Sus scrofa: one gene and its partners. The protein of the gene in region 3 purifies or fractionates together with the protein of the main gene of each other region. This does not show direct contact. Links are inferred from orthologs where the notes say so. Each region holds a gene or a part of one and is shown on either strand. Other genes may lie near its edges.

Region 1 (8,246 bases), on a different chromosome or scaffold from region 3:
GCGTTGCTGTGGCTCTGGCGTAGGCCAGCGGCTGCAGCTCCAACTGGACGCCTAGCCTGGGAACCTCCACATGCCGCGGGAGCGGCCCAAGAAATAGCAACAACAACAACAACAAAAGACAAAAAGACAAAAAAAAAAAAGCACTTGAGAGATGAACCATGCCCCTAGTCACCCCATTCCCTAACATCGCCAAGAAAGGAAAAAAAAAAAAAAAAAAAATCCCAACACCATTTTCTATATATAATCAGGTTTGCCACAAATCAGGGTCTCCATTAATAACCCGAGTGTCCTCTCTAACATAATTAACGCACTCTAAGTGCGGCGGAGGGAGAAGGATGGACTGGGAGCTTGGGGTCAGTAGATGCAAACTATGACATTTACAATGGACAGACAATAAGGTCTTACTGGACAGCACAGGGAACCATATCCAGCCTCTTGGGAGAGACCAGGATGGAAAATGATACCAGAAAGGCAATACATATATACATATATGGGACTGGGTCGCTTTGCTGTACAGCAAAAATTGGCACACCACTGTAAATCAACTAGACTTTAAGGAAAAAAAAAAAAAAGAGAGAAAGAGACAAGAGTGCCCTCTGGGCTCTTTGGGCAGGAAGAGAGACACGGCTGCGGAAGCGAGGCCCTGGCAGTGCTCTAACCCACCAGCCCCACCTGGTGCTGCTGCTACCACTGGAAGCGCTGCGCCTCTTCCGAGTTTTATCCCTGCCACGGTCCTTCTCGCTCGACTCCTTGGTGGCCCCTTTATCTTTAGAGCGGTCCTTGGACTTTTCCTCAGAGCGGTCTTTGCGTTTGGTAGGAGAAGGAGCCCTGGACGGTGAGGAAGAGCGTGAGACTGCAGGCCCTGGTGACTGGACCCTGAAGCAACAGCACCACCCGAAAGGGGATCCAAAGGGCTACAGAAATCCCAGGCAATCACAGAGCACAATGATCTGTGGCTTAGGACACTTGCATGTAAAATGCAAGACATTTCCAAGTTCCCCCTTTCTCACGGTCCCTAGCAACGAGTACCCCCAAAGTAGCACTAGAAAAATCTGACAGAAGGAAGGATTACCTAGTGCTGGACTTTTTATTATTTTCTTTGACTCCTAGCAAGCTCTTCTTTTTCACTCCTGATAAATCCATTCTCCCCTTCTGAGGTGTTCAAAGCAGCAATGGCGGCCTCACTTATCTGAACTCTCACTTCTAACTTGAGTCTGAGAAACGATCCCTAATCGATTGCAATTTACGCCAAAGTGCAGCCTAATAACAAGACAAAAGGATTTACAGGGTTAATTGGCAACAAATCGACTTGGCGGTCAAAAGCCAGGCACAGCAGAAGGCAGCAAGGAACACAGTAAGCAGCAAGCATCTACAGAGCCAGGAACAACACCTCTGGGATGGCCGGGCACCATTTCCTTGGGGAGGGTCCCACTCCCGCAGGAGGCACTGGTGGAACCTCAGCTTGTGGTTTCTCAAGGACACGGTGGTGGTGTCCTGTTATTTCACAGGTGGTACAATACCCGTTTTTCTTTCACAAGTTTGCTGTCGAGCCCTACAGTCCTTTAAAATACCACAGCATCACATTTGCATGCAGAACAGAGAAAATCCACTGACAGGAGTAGATCTCGTCTCATTGCTATGACCTTTGTAAAATACAGTGTGTATGATATGACTGGAAACAAAAGCCCTTTCAAAAGTACCAACATCAAAACATTTAATACTGGGAGTTCCTGTCGTGGCTCAGTGGTTAACGAATCCAACTAGGAACTGTGAGGTTGCGGGTTCAATCCCTAGCCTCGCTCAGTGGGTTAAGGATCTGGCGTTGCCTCGAGTCAGCTGGTAGCTGCAGCTCCGATCCGGGCCCTAGCCAGGGAACTTTCATATGCCCCAAGTGCTGCCCTAAAAAACAAACAAACAAACAAACAAAAAAAACCACAAAAAAATCCCCCCAAACAAACCAGCAACAACCACCCCCAACATTTAATACTCAGTGCGAACAAGTGAAATGTCCCCTCTGAACAGTTAAAAAGCATGAGAACAATACATTAAAAAGCAGTCGTTGCAAATATTAAAGATGCATATGCACATGGAAATGTTATGGAGAGGTATACCCGAGACAAAATAAGATGGATGACATAAAGCAAATACAGCAAAGATGTAAATTGTAGACTCTAGGTGGCCCCGGTTATGTGGCTATTTACTGTACAAAAGTTTCCCAACTTTTCTGTGTGTTCACATTTTTTCAAAAATAAAATTGGAGGGAAACAAGCAGACACTGGAATTGACGCAGTTATTGTAAGTGATGGTTCAGCAAAAGGCCTGGACTGCAGTATGTACTCAGTAAATGATCATTAGTAAATACCGTTCAAGAACCAACTACCAGTTCATTGTGGGTCCCGTTTCCTGGGGACTGTTGCCTTTTGTGGTTCCAGTCAAGTTTTGTAGGATTTGCTTGAGTTCTAAGCAGAGATCTTAGGATGTTAGCTTCTACTACTTCCACCTCACCTTCCCCGACAGCCTGTAAGTCACCTGGACGGACACAGCCGACTAATTTGGAGCCTGTTCCTAAGTCTGCAGTGGTGCCAAAATGTTGGATAATCACTGACTCAAGAGTGTCCAGCTTTGGACAATCAAAGAGAATACAAAAGAGAACATCACCTTTGTTGCTCTTTTCCAGGGCTACAGTCTTTTAAAATGCTCAGTCTTAAAATAATACGGTACAGGAGATGTGGACCAGGCAAGCTGGGATAAGTCAGTCCTCAGACACTCATTGAGTCTAACTCAATGGTTAAGAGTGTGGAGTCAGCCTGCTCGGCTTTCGTTCAGAGCTTTGTTGTGTGACCTTGGATAAATCACCTAACCTTTCTAGCCTCAATTTTTCATCAGTCTACGCCTCATAGTTATCAAAGACATAAATCAAACTGACCCATAAAAGAAACTTGGCACCTACTTAAGGCTCAATAAACCTCAGCTAATTTCAGAAGAAAGGCGCTGGAGGCTCTTTCCCCATAAAAACTCCTGACTCTAAATAAAAGTCGCACACAACCTCTGAATGCTCAAGAGAGGATCACCAAGAGCAGTCTGGTCCAACAGAAAGAGTACCCTAACATTTTGCTAACAGGCACGTTTGCAAAAAGTACAAAAGAAACAGATGTAGTTAACTTTTAGTAATGTATTTATCTGACACCCTATACCCCAAATATTATCTTTTCACCAATCAGTATCCAAGTGTGTTAACAAAATATCTACGCCTCCCCATACCAAGTCTTTTAAACACCCCCCTTTGGGCTGGGTATGTTTCAAGTGCCTAATATCCACACGTGGCCAATTACTGAACCAACCTTACTGAACAGATGACAGAGTGCAGATTGCTGGGCCCCACCCCAGGCCTAAAGATCTGCCCTAATGTACTTTGTAAATAAAAATCTAGCAAGTTATTCTTAAAACTCTGGAAAGTTAAGAACCACAGAGTACGTAAACGCTTCGCTGGGCGAGGCCTAGGTGGTAGAAAGCAATGGTTGACGTTCTCTGTTTACACAAGTTCAGGTAACAGCACAGGACTCTGGTTACCTCCCCCATCCTCCGGAAAGTTGCGCAGTCCAACAGCCAGAGAGAGGAGAGAACAACTAGTTAAATCTCGAGTAGCTACCGTTTCAGGTCGTATCTTCAGAGCCCCTTCCCCGCTGAACAGTACGTTTTAGGCATATTCATGCGAAATTACAAAGGCAAAAAGCCACATCTCTTCTCCACTGATATTTAACCTTCCCGTACCCTCCCTCCTGGGGCAAGCCGGGAAACAGAGCTCCAAGGCATTAAGGGCCATATCCCCAAAGATGGGCACCGAGAACGGCACACAGGAGTCCGACAAATGTTCGTGGATTCCATGTTTAAAGCAAGATCTTCAAAAGGAAGGTCAGACGGTCACCCAGGGCACCCCACAAAGCAACTCTGCACCCACCGGCCCCGGGCCCAACGCGACCTCGCCGCCCCCTGTCCGCGTAGACTCACAACTCCCCACTCCAGGCGCCGGGCCGCGAGAGCTTCCAGGGCAGGGCCTGACGTTGCGGGCCTGGGTCTCCTGCCCGGCGAGAGGACCCTGAGGGTGGAGGCCGAGTTCCCGGCTGCTCCGAATTCCGCGGGCCTCCCTGGGCCCGCCGCAGAGAAGACGAAGCGAGGGCGCCCTTCCGCCCGCCGCAGCCCCGACCACTTCCGGGCCGCGGCCTCGGCGCCTCCTACTCAGCTCTCCTCTGGCCACTCTTTCTTCTTAAGAACTACACCGCGCCGCTAGGCCGCCGTTGCCACCGCGGGGCCGGGGAGAGGGCCGGCTTCACGATGCACCCCGCCGACCTTGGCGAGCGGCCCCCGAAGCTCGGATGGGGTCGGATTCCCGCAACTTACATCTTCCCGCCGCCGAGACCTCCTCCCGCTTTCCTCAGCCGCCGAGGCCGGCGCCGCTCTGGCGTCAGGATTAGGGAGCGGGAAGGCGCCGTCGTCCGGCGCGCAGCGATGACGTAGAGCGCCTCAGCCAATGAGCGCGAGCAAGGAGAATGTTAAAGAGCCAAGGTCGTGTGTAGCACCCCGCGTTGGAGCGCGTACTTTGGTTCCCCTCTCGGGAGGGGCGTCTTGGGCCGCCAGGGGCTGGCTGCGCGGCGCATAGGGCGGGCAAACTGGCAGCTTGCTGGGGCTGGGAGGGCCGTGCTGCGTGGTAGCTCGCGGGCCGGCGCGGGGCGGGTTAAGGCGGCCCTGCCCCTCTCCGTGCGCCTGCGTCCTAGGCTCGCCGCGGGCTTGGTGCGGTCCGTGGGCGCTGGGCCTGAGACCCGGAGTTTCGGGCGGCGGGGTTGGGGGAGGAGTGCGCAGGTGCCGCGGCCTCTAGCCGACCGCCGTGGGGACCGGCCGGGCAGAGGGTTCGTGCGGTTAGAAGCCTCTCAGGGAGTGGCCAGGCAGACGCAGCTTTTACTCCAGCGGAACTCGGCCGGGTGGGTAAGACGGGGTAGTGCCGTCAGAAAGGACGGGCAGCAAAAGACAGGGTAGAAGACGAGGTGCAGGAGTCCCCGTCGTGGTTCAGGGGAAACAAGTCTGACTACAGTCCATAAGGACGCCGGTTAGATCCCTGGCCTTAATTAGTGGATTAAGGATCCGGCGTTGCCTATGAGCTGTGATGTAAGGTCGCAGACGCGGCTGGGATCTGGTGTTGCTGTGGCTGTGTCGTAGGCTGGCAGCTGCAGCTCCGATTCGCTCCCTGACCTGGGAACCTCCAAATACCGCACATGCGGCCCTAAAAAGACAATAAATAAATACATTAAAAATTTAAAAAAGAAGGAGTTCCCATTGTGGCTCAGTGGTTAACCAATCTGACTAGGAAGCATGAGGTTGTGGGTTCGATCCCTGACCTTGCTCAGTGGGTTAAGGATCCGGTGTTGCCGTGAGCTGTGGTGTAGGTCGCAGGCGCAGGTCGGATCCTGCATTGCAGTGGCTCTGGCGTAGGCCGGCGGCTACCTCTAGCCTGGGAACCAACATATGCAGCGAGAGAGACCCAAGAAATGGCAAAAAGACAAAAAATAAAATAAAATAAAATAAAAAGAGAAGACTAGGTGCAGAAGTCAAGGCGCCTCTGCGGAGGTGACACTGCAGCTGAGACCCAAGTGGAAGGGTGCCCTCAGCCGAGAGAAGAGCAGGTGCAAAGGCGCAGAGGCTTGCTGGCAGAAGCCGGGGCTAGGAAGGTGGAGTTTAGCATTTGGGGGGAACTTGGAAGGTGTGCAAGATAAGGCGCCAAGGCTTCATCCCGGGGCTGGTGGACGGCGCAGGCGGGGAGGCATTGCCAGAGCCTCCTGGCAACGGCAAGAGGGTGAGGTTTAGAGGCCCAGGACCAGGCAGGAGGCTGTTGGAGTAAAACCCGGCTCTGAGAGGGCCAGGGCTTGCAGGGTTTGTTGACTGCTGTGTACCTGCTTCCTTCCTTATTGGAAGGAGGGGAGGAAGGTGCACCCCTGTCTCAGAACAGGTGGAACAGGTAGACTCAGCAGGGAAGAGAAGAGAGCAGATCCAGGGTGTGTTCCGGGGAAAGGAACCACTGTGGTGCGGAGATGGGCCAGAGATGGGCACCTGGACGGTGCCTTTGATACCTCATCCTGGGTTGAGGGGTGTCTGAGGAGTCGGGGACAAAAGACAGGCAGGGGCAGCCTCCCTTTGGAGGCCTCTCTGCTGAGGCCTCTGCACACTCCTGGGAGGGGGCTTGGCAGGCGGAGTCAGTCCGGGTTGTGGTTCTCCCTCTGGATTTAGATTTGGGGAGTGGGGGCCATTTAGAGAAGGTATATGACCTCGGCATCATGGTCACATTGGCCAGGCCAGGTGGTGGTATAATTGTAACAGAGCCGCAGCCCTGGCCCTGCAACAAGCAGTTAAGGGGCCCAGGGGGTCGGTGTTGGGGATGTCGTGGTCTTGCTGGGCCCTGCCTGCCGTGCGGGGAGTCAATGAGGAGCCCATGGCAGCGGGTCAGAGTCCCACACATCCTGGGCCAAGTCGATGTGTACCTGAAAGGCCTTGAATCCAGAGCCGTTGTCCAGGGAGGTGGTGACAACCTAGGTGGGGATGAGGCAGGCCCTGTGGTCCCACCGAGGCGCATGGAGGAGGCACAGGCAGCTGGGCTGACAGCCCCTTCTGGGTTTTCTGTTGTTCATGCTCCGAAGTCATAGAATTTGGCATGCATATAACTTTCAACACATTTTATATTAAATCTAAAAGCATGATTTAGTCAGACACTTAGGAATTTAATCAAATTTGGTTCTGAATATTGTTGATTTTATCATCAGCTGTTGAGCTTTGAAATCTAAGCATCTGGGCTTTTGCCACTTTGAGAAGCAGCGGAACATGTTTGGAAGGAACATGAGAAAATAAAACTCCAGTGGTCCCCAGACCCCAGCCTTCCAGGAGGCCTGGGCCTCTCCCCTCCCGGCCCCCAGTGGCAACCTGCTGAGGCCATAGGGATTGGGGGCCTCTGGGGGTCTCTGGCTCAGGTGCGAGGGAAGTGGGGGGCGGACTCCCGTGGACAGGGCATTGGGCAGCTAGCCCCAGGCCTGGGGCTCCGCACCACGGGCATCCTGTGGGCTCTGGCCCGTGTCCCGAGCCCACTTCCTTTTCCCACAGGGCCGAGGGCCACCTGCTTCCCATGAGGGGCTGCCGCACGTTGAGAGCCTACTCGCCTCAAGGCTGAATGTCCCCCTGCTTTATCCGCTATGGGCCTGATGGCCTCTGCGGTGCCTGCCCTTGGAGGTTGGTACCCTGCACACTGAAAGGGTCAGGGATGGCCTGGGTTGTGTAGGAGGTCACGGTGGGCCACACGGGAGCTTTGAGCAGGCATCACATCTCCTTGTACAAAATGTCAAGGAAGCACTTCTTTTTTTTTTTTTTTCTCTTTTTAGCTTTTCCAGGGCCACATTCGTGGCATATGGGGGTTCCCAGGCTAGGGGTCTAATCGGAGCTGTAGCCACCGGCCTATGCCAGAGCCACAGCAACTCGGGATCTGAGCCGCGTCTGCGACCTATACCACAGCTCACGGCAGTGCCAGATCCTTAACCCACTGAGCAAGGCCAGGGATTGAACCCGCAACCTCATGGTTCCTAGTCGGGTTCGTTAACCACTGAGCCACAATGGGAACTCCAGGAAGCACTTCTATCCGTTGCTGACAGGCTCTGTGCTAAGGGCGGGCACGGCCCAGCTCAGTGGAAGAAAGAGATTCGGGTGGGGTCAGGGAGATGGGGACGGCTTGGTGACCCCGAGGGAGGCATTAGAGGAGCAGGTAACCTGGCTCCTGTCTGTGGGGGCGAACGCCTGCAGCCCTGAAGGAGCCCAGGAAGAGGTGCTGGCCAGTCTGAGCAGGCCAGCCAGCCAATGAGGGTCTGGAGTTGTGGGGAGGCCTTCCGGGCTCCAGGAGAGCTGCATTCCCAAGGTGTTGGGGCATCAGTTTCCAATGAGGTCCCCCCAGGAGGCACAGGCTGCCTATTGGAGGGGCCGTGTGGCCGGGGCTGTGAGCAGTGGGCTTGGGAGCCTGTGCTGGTTTTCATGCCCGAGACCCCGGGTCTACTTCTGCCCCAAGGGGGTCAAGCATCATGCTAGCTCAGTTGCCCAGCCTGGGAGGGTCCAGGCCGGAGAAGGGGAGCAGGGGTGCCGCAGGCCTGCACGAGATGCCCTGGCCCCTGGCTGGCCCCTGGCTTCCCTCTGGCCACCCGCAGCCGGTGGATTCGGGGCTTCTC
Region 2 (8,043 bases), on a different chromosome or scaffold from region 3:
GTTAAAGATCCAGCATTGCCGTCAGCTGTGGTGTATGTTGCAGATTCGGCTCAGATCTGGTGTTGCTGTGGCTCTGGTGTAGGCCAACAGCTGCAGCTCCGATTAGACCCCAGCCTGTGAACCTCCATATGCTGAGGTTGCAGCCCTAGAAAAGGCAAAGACAAAAAAAAAAAAAAAAAAAAGTTTCTTCCCACAATTGAAATACAGTAGGCCTATATGAAGAGGAACCTTTTTCTAGATTCTTCCAAATTATGCGCATCTAGCCCTCTGTTAAGGACATAATTTCCTGTGGCCAAATACCACAGTAGGTATTGGTCACAACTTTGACTTCTCTGAATAGGGGCACATAACTTTGGGTAAAGACCCTATTCTTTTTATTTTTATTTTTTGGCTGCACTTGAGGCATGCAGAAGTTCCTGAGTCAGGGATAGAACCCATGCCACAGCAGTGACCATGCCAGATCCTTAACCCATTGAGCAACCAGGGAACTCCAAGTTCCTATTCTTTTTATTTTTTATTTTGCTTTTTTGGGCCACAAGTGTGGCATATGGAAGTTCCCAGGCTAGGGGTCAAAGAGAGCTGCAGGTGCCAGCCTATACCACAACCATGGCAACACCAGATCCGAGCCATGTCTGTGACCTACATCGCACCTCATGGCAATACCAGATCTTTAACCTACTGAGTAAGGCCAAGATTGAATCTGCATCCTCATGGATACTAGTCAGGTTTGTTTCCACTGAACCACACCAGGAACTCCTCTTTTTACTTTTTTAATTTTTTTTTTCTTTTTATGGCTGCACCCTCAGCATATTCAAGTTCCCAGGCTAGGGGGTCGAATCAGAGCCACACGAGCAGCCTATGCTGCAGCTTGCATCACCAGTGGTTTTTTAACCCACTGAGTTAAGGTCAGGGATCAAACCCGCATCCTCATGGACACTGTGTCGGGTTCTTAACCCACTAAGCCACAACGGGAAGTACCCCTATTCTTTTATATATATATAAAATACTTTTAACCTACTTTTAATTCAGCTGGTTAGAAGGAGAAAATCCAACAGTACCCTAGGCAATTTCTTTTTTTTTGTTGTTGTTGTTGTTGCTATTTCTTGGGCCGCTCCCACGGCATATGGAGGTTCCCAGGCTAGGGGCTGAATCGGAGCTGTAGCCACCGGCCTACGCCAGAGCCACAGCAACGCGGGATCCGAGCCGCGTCTGCAACCTACACCACAGCTCACGGCAACGCCGGATCGTTAACCCACTGAGCAAGGGCAGGGACCGAACCCGCAACCTCATGGTTCCTAGTCAGATTTGTTAACCACTGCGCCACGGCGGGAACTCCCATCCTAGGCAATTTCTAACCCCATCCTTCAGATAGAACAAATCCGGACAGAAATGTCATAGGGCTTTGAAAAACGGAGACTGAGAGTAGTTTTCACCAGTGGAAACAAGGTGGTTCAGGCTGCACCCTGAAAAGAACGTGTGTGAAAAAGATCTAAGAACTAACACTTCATTAACTAGAGCATCACAGGGGCCTCCCAAGACTTATTCTAGAACACTGGAACTTACTCTGTGCTCAATGTTAAGATCTTACAACCTAACACTAAAACAAACAGTAAGAGAGAGGAAAAAAATAGGAAACAGGAGTTCTGGCCAAGGGTTATTTCAACATAGTGACGTTAGATATGCTTCTTGGTGCCTAAATTTCTGGTTGGTTAAAAATGTCCTTCAGTTTCCATATCGGGTACCCTAAACATATCCTATAAATCTTTAGAGCAGGGGAAAACTATCCAGCAACTGAGGCTATGAAGTTCTCCACAAGGATGACAAAAGGGCAATATGACACTTCCCTAAATGAATGTACTATTACTTATATACACACCTGAATGTGGTTCCCTTTCAAAAGACGCCACAGGAAGTTGCATACTTACTCTAAAAATGCTACCATCACATCAAAGTTTAGACATTTTTCTGGAATTGCTTTAGAGTCAGCAGTTTATTCTTCTGATTGCACAACAGTGGGATATGGGTACTCCTAATGTCAATTTATGCCTTGCTTATTTCCTAGAGAGATTTTAAGTAGCTCTATTAAAAACATTTATGCTAATGTTTAACAGAAAAAAACTGTATGGTTTCCCAGGTGACTTCTCTGATGGGAATATTTCTTTAAATATTTGTGAAGAAAAAAAATAAAGACCACGTGACTTTGTAGGAGCAGTTCATATTTAGGGAAGAGGAGAGTCAAACTCCCTATCTTCAGTATCAATTCCTCACATCTCCCCCCCAGTGTTTCTGACAGCACAAATAACTTGCCTATTTCTCTGCAAACCTGCCTCTTCATCACAAGGCTAGAATGGTAGCAGTAACAGAGTCAATCACTTTTCTGAAAGGTGATTTTCTGATAGTCGAAGCCTGACCTCCCTTTTTAAATCGGGACACAGCTGCCCCAACTTTACTTAAGGCACAAAAACAGCTTTTCAATCCTACATTCTTGTTCGCAGAGCCTCTCCAAAATGGCCACATTGGAACTCTTGTATATGTGAAAGTGCTTATATGCTCCTACTAATCAACTCTTTGGTCTTCTCGTGATTTCACTAAATGACATGCACGCACATTAAATGATCAGGCAATGATCATTGAAAAGAGTCTAAGAATTATTTTTTATATGCCTTTGACACATTATCAAAGCTACACAACCAGTTACTCAGAAGAGAATTTAGCCAACTCTTCATGTTCATCAAGATCAAGCCTTCCTTCAAGAGATGACAAAAGGTATCTTTAACAAATTCAGGGTTCTATAAACTAGACAGGTTGTTTTGCTTTAATTCAAAACAACCCAACTTCACGTTTACTAGCTGATAAGCAACAATGAATCTTCCTGGCACTACTGGCTCACTATATCCATCTTACCTGAAACTTTTAACACCAAGAAGGAAAAAACAAGTCATTTTTCCACAGGAGTGGTTCCCTCCACTCAGGTTTCAAATGCATCCTTGAAGCTACTTTTTTACAACTTTCTGGAATAACATATACAGTACTTGAGGAGCCTTTGCGTTGATAGGATCTTCATGAAAAGGCTCTTTTTGCTTCTGAATGCCTATTTATTTTCTAATAAATGGAGCCCCTTTGGAAGTTTCACTTTGGAAGCCTTTAATTACATTTCAGAACAAGCATGTTCCTGAACCATCACACTTAGAGTTGAAACAGGTCTGCCTATTTCTGCAGATTTTCTTGAAAGTTCACAGGAAAATGAGGTGGGAGGAGTAGGAGAGGGACATCAGACAGAACAGATGCAAAATGAGAGCTCAAACTGCTCATTGGAGAATGTGGCTGAAATAGTTCATATCCTTCTGACCTGTGAAAAAGAAACTTTAACGCCGCTCATAAGACACTCACCTTGAGAATTTTTACAACCACTCTCTCGTTGTTGGTGATGTTAATGGCCTCAAATACTTCACTATACTTTCCCCGACCAAGTTTTCGAACCAGCTGGTAATCATCTTGATTACTGTGAAAGCCAAGAGCGACAAATATAAATGGCAGGACTTAGGATTAACCAAGCCTATGCCCACTACACACCCCATCCAGGCGCTTCCATTAATCAAGCACTTGGAAGTGTCTACACATCATGCCACAACTCATTCCCTAAATGAAAGCCACAACATAAACTTGGCTCCTCGCACTAGACGCAGTTCCTAACCTAATTGGTCCCTCATAACTTAGGGGAGATAAGGTGGAAGGCACGGGTCTGACTCAATCTAGAGGTGAGCAAAGCATCCATCCCGGAGGCCCAGAGGTGCCCCTCCGCCCAGCACCTGCCTTCTATTGCACACCCAGAAGGTAGACACCGCCTGCCTTGCGAATCTGGACATCCTTAAAAAATTTCCTCCCACCCATCCTCATTTCAAAAAAATAGAAAAGCAAAGAATTTTAATAGCTCAAGAGGACAGCTGCTGACTTCCCACCCCAATAGAAACCCCAAAGCGTAAAAGGAAAGGCTGCTCCCTTACTCCCACCGGGCTCTGGTCCCTGGACCCCTACACTTGTAAGGAAGTATACCCTGGGGTAAGGGGTACGCACAACGGGGAGGGAGAAGCGGAAGGGAGGAGAGGAAGACGAGGGCACTGGTGGGGGGAGTGGACCTCCCACCCCAGACCGGAGAAGCGCAGGCCCAGCAAAGGGGCAGGCGAGGAGATAGACAGCGGGGGACAAGTGCGGTTTGCGCGGGGGGTGGGGGGACGGCCGGGCGGGGGTGGGAGTGAGAGGGCCCGGCGGGGGGCGGCGGCGGCTTTACCCCCAGCTCGGGACGTGAGACTCATAGTCCCAGTACTCGCGGCTCCTCAGGCTGTTCACCTCGGCGTAGACCCGGGCCCTGCTGCCCGCGGCCGGGCCCGGCATGGCGGGCGGGACCGGGGGGCGTCGCGGGGCGCCGAGGGCGGCGGCGGCGGCGCGACGGGGGGCGCGGGGCGGCGGGCGGAGGAGGCGGCGGGCCGCGGGCCGCCGGAGGAGGAGGAGGAGCGCAGCGGCGGGCGGCCGCGCCAGGCCGGGCCCGCGGGGGCGGGCGGGCTGGGGGCGCGGGGGGCGCCGGCCAAGCCGGCCGGGCCCTGGAGCTGCCGGCGGGACGGCGGGGCGGATGGCGCTCGCGCTCCGCGGCGGCCTCCGCTCGGCTCGCGGCCCCGAGGCGGCGGCGGCGGCGTCGGCGGCACCAGCAGCGGCAGCCGCCGGCCGGGAAAGGGGCAGCGGCAGCGGCGGCGAAGAAGGAGGAGGAGGAAACCCGGAAAAGGGGCCGCGCTCACTAGGAGCGGCCGACGCCCGGCCCGGGGCCGCCCAGCCTCACAGCGCCCCCTGCAGCGCGGGGGGACCCGCCCGCCGGCCTGGTCCCGCCCCTGACCCCGCCCCTCCAGGATCCCCTTCCAAATCTACCCATCCTTGGTCTGGCAGAAAGCGCTCATCACAGGGCCTCCCCGCCCACAGGCTGCTGTCCTAGAGCCTTGCCCCCTCGCCTACTCTTCCAGGACTCTCCTAGAGACCCCCTACCCCAAAGCTCTCTACCCTTTCGTCATCCAGAGTTTCACCACCAGACCTCTCATACCGACCCTGCTGTGACACTTTTGTCACCCAAACTGTTCCCATCAAGTCCCTCCCTCATGAAACTTGCTCTTTTCACTCAGAACCTCTCCAACTCCTGATTTCCCCACCCCTCCCAGAGACAGCCCATCTTCCCTGATAGACTCTCCCCTGCCACCCACAGACTCTTGAACCTCCAGACTTCCCCTTCTCTCTTCATCCACAAAACCCTTATCTTACATTTTCCCCAAAATATCCTTCCAGAACCTTCCCTAAGAACTCTCTTTATGTTCATATCCTCACTTGGTTAAGTTGGAGTCAGCCAAGTTACTCACTGTAAAGTTCCTATTTTTCCCTTTGTAATTAATAAGCAAAATGTGTGGAGACACTTTGAGACCATAGAAATACCTTGGTTTGGTTTGGGAGGACAGAGAGCAGGAGAATTGTGAGAGTCCTGCCTTGAAGGGACAGGCTAGGAGTTGGGTATGGACTGAGGGTGGGGTGGCCAACCAAACTTTGGCCTATTTTATTAGGTTGCCTTCTAGCCCTGAACACTCTTCTCTCCTTGATGTTCTGGGCCTTTCTTTGGTCTTGCTTTTCCATCCCACATTTTTTAATCACTCAGCCTGGGTTGCTTTGAATCCAATCCTTTTTCATATTCTGTTTTCTAGGTGAGGCCCTGCTTCCTCCTTCTTGATACAATTAAGAGAACAAACTCTGAAGCTAGATCCTTCCGTGTTTGAATGCCAGCTCTGCTACTTACAAGCTGTGTTACCTTGGGCCAATAACTTAACCTCTCTATGCTGTGGATTTTACAAAATAAAAGCAGTAATGGCACCTACCTCACACGACTATGGAGCAGATTAGACAAAATAAACCATGAAAAACACTTAGAACAGTGTCTAGCAGATACTGAGTGCTCAATATGATTATTATCTGACCAGGGCCTTTCCCTACACATTGCTCTCCTTGAGATGCCCGTCTTTCAGTTTTTTCTACCCTCCAAGTTTGGCCGACATCACCTCTACCCCCTCCAGTTCCATTTTTCTCTGCCTGACTCCTTTTTCCTCTCCAAGTCTCACTTTTAAGTTCATTTTATTTATTTATTTATTTTTTTTTTGCCATTTATTGGGCCGCTCGCATGGCATATGGAGGTTCCCAGGCTAGGGGTCTAATTGGAGCTGTATCTGCTGGCCTACGTCAGAGCCACAGCAACGCAGGATCCGAGCCACATCTGCAACCTACACCACAGCTCACGGCAACGCCGGGTCCCTAACCCCCCGAGCAAGGGCAGGGACCGAACCTAAAACCTCATGGTTCCTAGTTGGAGTCGTTAACCACTGCGCCACGACGGGAACTCCCATTTTATTATTTTTTAATGATTTTTTTTCCATTATACGTGGTTTACAGTGTTCTGTCAATTTTCTACTGTACAGCAACCCAGGCACACATAAATTATCAAGCTCCATCATAAGTGACTAGATATAGTTCCCAGTGCTTTAAGTTCATTTTAAATATTAGAGTTGATAGTGCTCAACACCCATCCACATTCTTCAGAAAATTGCATATCTTGTAATTATTTGTTTCTTAGGTTATTGTCTATTTCCTCCACTGTAAAAACAGCATAAGAGCAAAAACTGAGTCTAGGTAGGTGCTCACCACTGGCTCACCCTGCACTTGCCACAGCTCAAGGCTTTCAATGAATACAGTGTTACCCTACAGAGCACGTGTTAATTACAAAGGGGAACCTGGAGGTCATCACTCTAATCCTGAATCACACTTGACATCATCCAGTAAAGGACCAAGGGACCCTCTGATGTGCTGCACCAAGAAAGGACACAACATCTGCCGCCAAACCTTAACTTGAATCTAATCAGACAAATCAAAACTGGGGAGCTTTCTGCAAAACAGCTAGCCTGGACTCTAAAAAAAAAAAAGAAAGAAACCCAAAAAACCTCTGGAGTAGTGCTCTTGATTAAAGGAGACTGAGAGATGTAACTATTTTAAATAAAGTGTATAATTCTGGATTCAATCCCCGATGAGAGAGGGAGGAAGGAAAGGAAGGAGAGAGGGAGGAAGGGAAGGAGAAAGAATGCAGATAAAAGGACACCGTATTGGGGCTACTTGGGAAACTTGAATACATAAAAGTATCAAAGTATCGATGTTCAGTTTTATGAGTGAGAGGATTATATTGTGTTTAGGCAAGAAACTTTCTTGATCTTGGAAATTACATGCCAAATGTTTGGGGATGAAGTATCATAATATCTGCAACTTTCAAACGGTTCTGCAGAGAGACATAAGTTCCTGAGAGCACAAGCACGAACGGGGAGAGGGGAGAGATTCAGGAGAAATGTTGACACTTGGGGAATGTGATTAAAGACTATGTGAGCTTGCAATTTTTTGGTACTTTGAAATTTCTCAAAATAAAAATTGGAAGAAAAAACCATTTATAGAATAAGTGGGCCTTGGAATTTAATTCCCAAACCTGCAAAACTCCCCAAATCTCTGTCACACACACAAAAAAACAAATGTTCTCAAATTCTTAATGCAGCCTTTGGATTTCTTTGTGACAAGTCCCTGTGAACTAGTCTAGACCGGAGGTTTTTAATCCTGAGCCCCTGGATGAGCTTTTTAGGTTGATGGAACTCCTGACACTGTGTGCAAGATTTATGGGTTGGGGTGTGTGTGTGTGTGTGTGTGCGTGTGTGCGTGTGTGCGTGCGTGTGTGCGTGTGCAGGAAATCTTAGCATTCATCAGATTCCCAAATGAGGCCATGACCCAAAAATGGTTCCAAACTACTGGTCTAACTACTAGGTCCAACCCCAGCTGGGGCCCCATTCCTCACCTCCACCCTCGCCCACCTCTGACCCCACCCACCCTCCCTGCACCTTCCTCTCATTCCTCACTAGCAAACCCACACCCATCTCATGTAACCTGCTCCCACGCCTGCTGGGATGCCTGAGGATTCACCCACACATCGCT
Region 3 (8,165 bases):
GACCTGTACTTAAGTTCTGCACTTAAAAATTTTGACAATATATTCTAGATTTAAACAAATATTACATTTTAAAAATATATTTTAAAATCACTTACTCTGGTTCTGGATTCTTTGGAGAAAGTCCCCATACTTCAGGAGCTCCAAGTTCTCCAATCCTCTCTCTCTCACTTAATCTCCTAGAACAGACAGGAAAGTAAATTATAACTCCATGGCTAAACTGTTTCCTAAATACATAATAAAATTCAAAGGAGTCCAGTTAAAACCTATTTTCTCTTTACACTTTAAACTTTAATAGGAGTTCCCGTCGTGGCTCAGTGGTTAACGAATCCGACTAGGAACCATGAAGTTGCGGGTTCAGTCCCTGCCCTTGCTCAGTGGGTTAAGGATCTGGCGTTGCCGTGAGCTGTGGTGTAGGTTGCAGATGCGGCTCGGATCCCGAGTTGCTGTGGCTCTGGCGTAGGCCGGCGGCTACAGCTCCGATTCGACCCCTAGCCTGGGAACCTCCATATGCCGTGGGAGCAGCCCTAGAAACGACAAAAAAAAAAAAAAAAAAAAAGACAGGTCTAGCTATGCATACACACACACACACACCACACACACACACACACACACACAGACCTTCTTAAAAAAATAAAAAATAAAATAAACTTTAATAAAAATTTGGTATACTCAACACTTAGGATCTGATGTTCTAATAGAACCATCAAATGGTACAGACTACAGACGGCCAGACAGGCTGGGCCACAAATGCAGCCTGGGAAGCTGTCAAGTGCAACCCTTTCACTGCTCACATGACATAGCCCCTAACTGCTCATTTCATCTTCTGCAATATGTCCCAGAAACAGTCTCACATTTGGAAATCATTTCCTTGGTTTATGCATATTAACGAAAGTAAAGAGAAGTCTCTACTTTGATATGGTCAAACCTGCTTTCAGAAACTCAGCAATCAATGAAGAAAATAAAAAATGAAGCATTAGGAGTTAATGTTGTGGCGCAGAGGAAATGAATTCGACTAGGAACAATGAGGTTGTGGGTTCGATCCCTGGCCTCGCTTGGTGGGTTAAGGATCTGGCGTTGCTGTGAGCTGTGGTGTAGGTCGCTGACACAGCTCGGATCTGGTGTTGCTGTGGCTCTGGCATGGGCCAGAGGCTACAGCTCTGATTCGACCCCTAGCCTGGGAACTCCATATGCTGCAGGTGCAGCCTTAAAAAGAAAAACTAAATAAATAAACAAAAATTAAAAAAATTAAAAACAGGAGTTCCCGTCGTGGCTCAGCAATTAACAAATCCGCCTAGTATCCATGAGGACTCGGGTTTGATCCCTGGCCCTGCTTAATGGGTTAAGGATCTGGTGTTGCTATGAGCTGTGGTGTAGGATGCAGACATGACTCGGATCCTGTGTTGCTGTGGCTGTGGTGTAGGCCGGCAGCTACAACTCCTATTCAACCCCTCACCTGGGAACCTCCATATGCCGCAGGTGTAGCCCTAAAAAGCAAAAAAATAGTAACAAAAATAAAATTTTAAAAAAATTAAAAAATAAAAAACAAAAAAACCTGCAGTTTCCTGGTGGCCCAGGAGTCAGTGTTGTCACTGCTGTGACTCAGGTTTGATCCCAGGTTTAATAGAAAATCTAAAAGGAGATATACTTACAGCCAAACTTCATATATATACATACAGGAGGAACAATCCTGGACTGGTTGTAAAGAGCAAGCAGTCAAGTTCGCTTCCCTGCTGCCACCAGACTTCACCTGTACTCTGTAACTATTTATCTTCTAAATGTACAGATGCAAATTTCATCCAAGAAATTCTGACATCTGTTGATGAGTAATATCTAATAAGGAAGCTGTACACTTTCTGATCAACGCAAACTTTCTAAAAATTTTAATTTGTGGAGGTTGGTCTCCAACATAGCTCAGGACTGTTTTTACTGTTTTTATTCCCATGCACAAAACCCTAATAGCTAACACTTAAGGACTATTTATTATGTCCCAGGCACTAAATTATCATAACTCCAAAAGCTTTTGTGCTAATTTTATTCCCTTTTAAATGGTGAAGATAGGAGTTCCCATCCTGGTGCAGTGGAAACGAATCCGACTAGGGATCATGAGGTTGCGGGTTCGATCCCTAGCATTGCTCAGTGGGTTAAGGATGTGGCATTGCTGTGAGCTATGGTGAAGGTTGAAGACACAGCTCAGATATGGCATTGTTTCGGCTCTGGCATAGGCCAGCAGCAACAGCTCCAATTAGATCCCTAGCCTGGGAACCTCCATATGATGCAGCTGCGGCCCTAAAAAAAAGACAAAAGATGAAAAAAAAAATGGTGAAGATATGAAACTCAGAGAGGTTAAGTAACTTGCCCAAGGTTACACAACTATTAAGTAGCAAAGGACAGCTTCAAACTCAAGCAGTCTGATTCTGGAGCCTGTCCTCTTCATCACTATGCTTTACTACCTCCCACTCCTGGAAGAAAAAGATTCATGATGACACCTCCCACCTGTTAGAACCTTAACCTGCCCCTCAATGCCTGTTATACCTAAAAAAAAATTTAACACATATAGCATGGTAAAGTTCTCAGCACAGTGCCTGACACACAATTTAACACTCAACAAGCATTAGATATTAAGACTTACAGGGAGTTCCCATCGTGGCACAGTGGAAATGAATCGGACTCGTATCTATGAGGATGTGGGTTCTATCCCTGGCCTTGCTTAGTGGGTTCAGGATCTGGCATTGCCATGAGCTATGGTGTAGGTCACAGACACGGCTCAGATCCTGTGTTGCTGTGACATAGGTCAGCAGCTATAGCTCTGATTCTACCCCTAGCCTGGGAACTTCCTTATGCCACAGATGCGGCCCTAAAAAGCAAACAAAAAACAAACTTACAAAGCATATAATAACTATAAATGAAGTAAATTTAAAAAATTAACAAATTAAAATTGTGAATTACTATACTGTACACCTGTAACATATAACACTGCATATCGACTATACTTCAAATTTTAAAAAGTAAAAATTTTTAAAAATTACAAAGTAATAATTATAAATCTTTTCATTTCTCCTTCTTAAACTATTCATTTTTCCACTCCAGTATTCACTCTCATTAGAGGAGATCTGATCTCACCCTGACCTCATTTTTCATGGTCAAGATTGAGACCACTTAACAAGACCTTTCTCAATGTAGCCCAATCTACAGTTTAGCAGATCACTTTTCCTACATTTATTCAATCATCTTGTTTCGGAGATTTTCCTCCCGTCCAATTTAAACCTTTCATCTCAACCCTTCCCAAATCGCTAGAAAACAATTCCACTCACTAATCCTGTTATCATCTCAAACCTGTCTGACCATTCAACAAGCGATGATTGCGCGCCTATAAAGTGCTAGGCACTGTGAATTTTGTGATCAATAAAACCGTGCTCCTCCTTTCAGTCTAGTGGGGAATGAAAACATGCTCAAGAACGATAACAATACCACCAAGAAAATGCTACAATTCCGGTAGGTCTGAAGCTCTTGGCTATATCCGCTACAAGCCAGGAGGCAAAAAGAGGGTAGCAGGAGACCAGGGCACTAAGTGAAGGGGTCTGAGGATAAGTGAAAACCTAAGGGCAGAAAAGGGGGGATTAGGCGTTATCATGGGTCGACTGAAGGAAGAGATGAAAATGGGCGCAAGCCAGGGAGAGCGAGCAAGATGGGAATAGTCGGGAGCGGAATGAACGATAAATCCGACTCTGAAGGCTGGTGGGCTCGGGAAAGAAAAGGTGCGTTCGTTTCACTCACTTCTGCCGCAGGCTCTCCTCCCTCTCCTTGTCCAGGAGGCTAGGCCATGGCTTGTCACTGCCGTAGGGGCGTGAGTAGCCGCCATAATAGGCGGACGAGGCAGAAGCGAAAGGGGCGCCCCGCGGAGCCGAGGGCCGCTCTCGAGAGCGTGACCGAGAACGGGATCTGTAGGACTGGTTTCTGGAGCCTTGGCTGGGGCCACTCGACTGATGGCTAAGGCCATTCCGGTCCCCGGACCGAGAGCAAGAGTGCGAGCGAGAGCGGCGGCCCCGCGGGGAGCGAGAGGATTTGCTGCAAGGCTTAGGGCTCTTCGACGAACTGCGACGCTTCCCCCCGGAACCTGAGGCCTCCCACTCTGGGCTGCGGGAGCCAGACACCGGAGCCATCGCTGCCACTGGTTCCCCGAAGCCGTGGGAGAAGGGGGCGCTCTCGCGAGCCGGGGAAGATCTTGGTTGCCTTGGCTCCCAGGACCCGCGGCCGCGCCACCACCCGAACCTGAGGAAACCTTGGAAACAGTTCCGGGTACGTCGGCAAATTCCGTCCCCGGACCGAGGCAGGCCTGTTACCGATGGGACGGCGATGTGTGTGTCTATATAAAGAAGCCGGTGGAGCAACTCCATAGGTTCATCCTTCTGGTTCCTAGTGGGGCTGCTTAAATCTAAGCCTACTGGAGACTTGGTACTAAGTTCAGCCTCCAGTTGAAATACCTGAAGGGACGGACGACAGGTCGAAGGACACATGTCACTGAGCGGCCGTGTGAACAGTAAATCCGGTGTAAATAAATAAATATGTGTATGTGGAATGTGTGTGTGTGTGTGTGTGTGTGTGTGTGTGCGCGCATAGAATTCATCTAAACTGGTGGAGAGTATAGTGCCTAAGCCCCGTATTACCTAGTTAGCTTAGAGGGAACAAAATATGTATTAATGATTTGAGCCCGATACTTTTTTTTTTTTTTGCTGCACCCCGCCCCCCAGCCCCCGTGGCATGTGGAAGTTCCTGGGCCAGGGATCGAACCTGCGCTTCAGTTTCGACCTACGCCACAGCTGCAGGCAACGTGGGATCTTCATACATTCTAATTAGGTTCGCAGCACAGTATTTATCCCCCAGCCATCCATCACCACCAATGTGCTCCAGCAAAAGGAATTAATAACCCTCTCCTTGCCTAGCTCCTTAAACTGGTCCCATCAAATATGAGGACAAAAAAATGTTGGGCTACCATTTCAGTAAACAACCAATGTTCCCCACCATCAAGTCATCAGCCGCTGCAGTCTGGACCCCTCCCTGCCCCTGAAGGGAATCCAGGATGTTGAAAAAAAAAAAAAAAAAACCAGGATACTGGGACTAAATAGTTAAGATGCATATCTAAGGGATACTTTCTTTTTTATTTAAAAATATAATTCATTTACAATGTTCTGCCAATTTCTGTTGTACAGTAAAGTGACCCAGTTATACATATATTTACATTCTTTTTCTCACATTATCCTCCATCATGTTCCATCACAGTGATAGAGTTCCCTGGGCTATACAGCAGGATCTTATTACTTATCCACTCCAAATGCTATATAGTTTGCATCTGCTAGCCCCAAATTCCTAGTCCATCCCACTCCCTCCCTAAGGATTAATATCAATGAGCACAGACTCTGGCATCTTCCCATACAGAGAAAAGCCCTAACATCATTAACTTCAGATAACTTTTTTTGTGATTAGCAATAATCTTTTGATGCCAAACTACTTTTTTTTTTTTTTCAGCAAAACTCCTATATATCCTGGCTCCTCCCTTACGTCTTTGGAACAGTTCCTCTGAGCAACCTAAGAGGCTGTGTCCGGGCTATAGTCCTCAGTAAAGTCCCTGAATGAAACATAACTGGCAGCTTTTAGGTTGTGCCTTTTTCTTCCGTCTCCATATGATAGCTCAACAATACATGGTTACTGGTCATTGTTTCTATTCATTTTATACTGTTTTTATTTTTTGTCTTTTGTCCTTTTAGGTCCGCACCGGTGACATATGAAGGTTCCCAGGCTAGGGGTCTAACCGGAGCTGTTGCTGCCAGCCTACGCCAGAGCCACAGCAACACCAAATCTGAGCCGCATCTGTGACCTACACCACAGCTCACGGCAATGCCGGATCCCTTAACCCACTGAGCGAGGCCAGGGATCAAACCCGCAACCTCATGTTTCCTAGTTGGATTCATTTCCGCTGCGCCATGACGGGAACTCCTAAAATTTATTTATTTATTTATTTATTTTGTCTTTTGTCTTTTTGTCTTTTGTTGTTGTTGTTGTTGCTATTTCTTGGGCCGCTCCCGCGGCATATGGAGGTGCCCAGGCTAGGGGTCGAATCGGAGCTGTAGCCACCGGCCTACGCCAGAGCCACAGCAACGCAGGATCCGAGCCGCGTCTGCAGCCTACACCACAGCTCACGGCAACGCCGGATCGTTAACCCGCTGAGCAAGGCCAGGGACCGAACCTGCAACCTCATGGTTCCTAGTCGGATTCGTTAACCACTGCGCCACGACGGGAACTCCTAAAATTTTTTTATTATAGTTGATTTACAATGTTCTGTCCCTCTGCCCATTTTTTAATCTGCTTGTTTTTTTATATTGAGTCGTATGCTCTGTTTATATATTTTTTTATCAATCATGTCATCTGCAAGTGTTCTCTTCCATTAGGTAGGTTGTCTTCTCGTTTTGTTGATAATTTCCTTTCTATCAATCTTAATTTTTGAAGGCACAGGGAGTTCGCTGTGGAAATTCTGAATCCAGTCTATCAGTAACTAGATGGCCTCTGAGGCTTTCCTCTTAAGAAGCAACCTATCAGGGAATTCCCACTGTGGCGAAGTGGGTTAAGACTCCAACTGCAGTGGCTCTAGTCACTGAGGAGGCCCTGGTTTGGTTCTCTAGCCCAGCGCAGTGGGTTAAAGGATTGGGCATTGCCACAGCTTCAGCTTAGGTTAGGTCACAGCTGTGTCTGGATTCAATTCCTGGCCCAGGAACTTCCATATGTTCTGAGTGTAGCCATAAAAAATTAAAATTAAAATTAAGGGAGTTCATGGAGTTCCCTTTGTGGTGCAGCAGAAACGAATCCGACTAGGAACCATGAGGTAGAGGGTTCAATCCCTGGCCTTGCTCAGTGGGTTGAAGATTCGGTGTTGCCGTGGGCTGTGGTGACGGTTGCAGTGGCGTCTCAGATCCTGCATTGCTCTGGCTGTGGTGTAAGCCGGCAGATGTAGCTCCGATTAGACCCCCAGCCTGGGAATCTCCATGTGCTGCGGGTGTGGCCCTAAAAAAAGCAAATAATAATAATAATAAAAATAAAATTAAGGGAGTTCCTATTGTGGTGCAGTGGAAGTGAATCTGACTAGTGTTCATGAGGATGCAGGTTCAATCTCTGGCCTTGCTCAGTGGTCCGGGATCTGGCGTTGCCGTGAGCTGTGGAGTAAGTTGCAGATGCTGCTCAGATCCCTCATTGCTGTGGCTGTGGTGTAGGCCAGCAACAGTAGCTCCAATTTGACCTCTAGCCTGGGAACTTCCATGTGAGGTGGGTGAGGCCCTAAAAAGCAAAAAATGAAAAATTTAAAAATAAAATTTAAAAAACAAGAACCCATCAGGAGTTCCCTGGTGGCTCAGTGGTTAAAGATTTGGCATTGTCACTGCTTTCCTTTGGGTCACTGTGGGTTCCATCCCTGGCATGAGAACTTCCACATGCTGTGGGCATGGCCCCCCCAAAAAAACCCTGCACACTTATTTTAAGTAACCTATCAGACCTGTTGTGGCTCATTCTTCTTGTCCTGCCCTCTTCCCTTTCTCCCACCCCCTAACTCCTGGCAACCTCTGAAATATTTACTGTTCCTACATTTGTACCATTTCCAGAATATTAAGCCAGTTGCAATCGGACTGACTTGTCTATTTAAAGTTCCTTCGTGTCTTTTTGTGGCTTGATAGCTCCTTGCTTTTTCTTTCTTTCTTCTTTCCTTCTTTCTTTCTTTCTTTCTTTCTCTCTCTTTCTTTCTTTCTTTCTCTCTCTCTTTCTTTCTCTCTTTCTCTCTTTCTTTTTTTTCTTTCTCTTTCTTTCTCTTTCTTTCTTCCTTTCTTTTTACAGCTACACCTGCAGCATATGCAGGTTCCCGGGCTAGGGATCATATTGGAGCTGCAGCTGCAGCTGCAGGCCTAAGCCACAGCAAGATCTGAGCTGCGTCTTTGATCTACACCACAGCTCATGGCAACACCGGATCCTTAACCCACTGAGTGGGGCCAGAGATAAAACCCATGTCCTCATGGATACTACTTGGGTTCATTACTGCTGAGCCACAACAGCTCTAGCCACCACTTCAATGGCTTGTGTCCCTTGATTTTGAAAGCAAGAGTGTGAGTAGGAGGTGTGTTTTCTATGTT

The links.
Region 1: the proteins of NKAP (region 3) and RNPS1 purify together in Homo sapiens (co-immunoprecipitation; 3 studies listed by BioGRID and IntAct, counting the BioPlex papers as one, with this or other methods). This does not show direct contact. The link is inferred for Sus scrofa from reciprocal best matches to the Homo sapiens genes NKAP and RNPS1.
Region 2: the proteins of NKAP (region 3) and CSNK2A2 purify together in Homo sapiens (affinity purification with mass spectrometry; 5 studies listed by BioGRID and IntAct, counting the BioPlex papers as one, with this or other methods). This does not show direct contact. The link is inferred for Sus scrofa from reciprocal best matches to the Homo sapiens genes NKAP and CSNK2A2.

Annotation. Positions count from the first base shown.
Region 1 is NC_010445.4:39,735,520-39,743,765, reverse strand, and holds the start of RNPS1 (RNA-binding protein with serine-rich domain 1), read right to left. Parts: upstream 4,709-8,246; 5' UTR 4,401-4,708; coding exon of another isoform or gene 4,399-4,400; 5' UTR 4,009-4,398; exon of another isoform or gene 3,571-4,008; intron 1,261-3,570; 5' UTR 1,144-1,260; coding exon 1,073-1,143; intron 829-1,072; coding exon 673-828; intron 1-672. UniProt on the Homo sapiens protein: Part of pre- and post-splicing multiprotein mRNP complexes. Auxiliary component of the splicing-dependent multiprotein exon junction complex (EJC) deposited at splice junction on mRNAs.
Region 2 is NC_010448.4:20,012,333-20,020,375, forward strand, and holds the start of CSNK2A2 (casein kinase II subunit alpha'), read right to left. Parts: upstream 4,393-8,043; coding exon 4,289-4,392; intron 3,503-4,288; coding exon 3,391-3,502; intron 1-3,390.
Region 3 is NC_010461.5:98,272,504-98,280,668, forward strand, and holds the start of NKAP (NF-kappa-B-activating protein), read right to left. Parts: upstream 4,337-8,165; 5' UTR 4,161-4,336; coding exon 3,775-4,160; intron 177-3,774; coding exon 96-176; intron 1-95. UniProt on the Homo sapiens protein: Acts as a transcriptional repressor. Plays a role as a transcriptional corepressor of the Notch-mediated signaling required for T-cell development. Also involved in the TNF and IL-1 induced NF-kappa-B activation.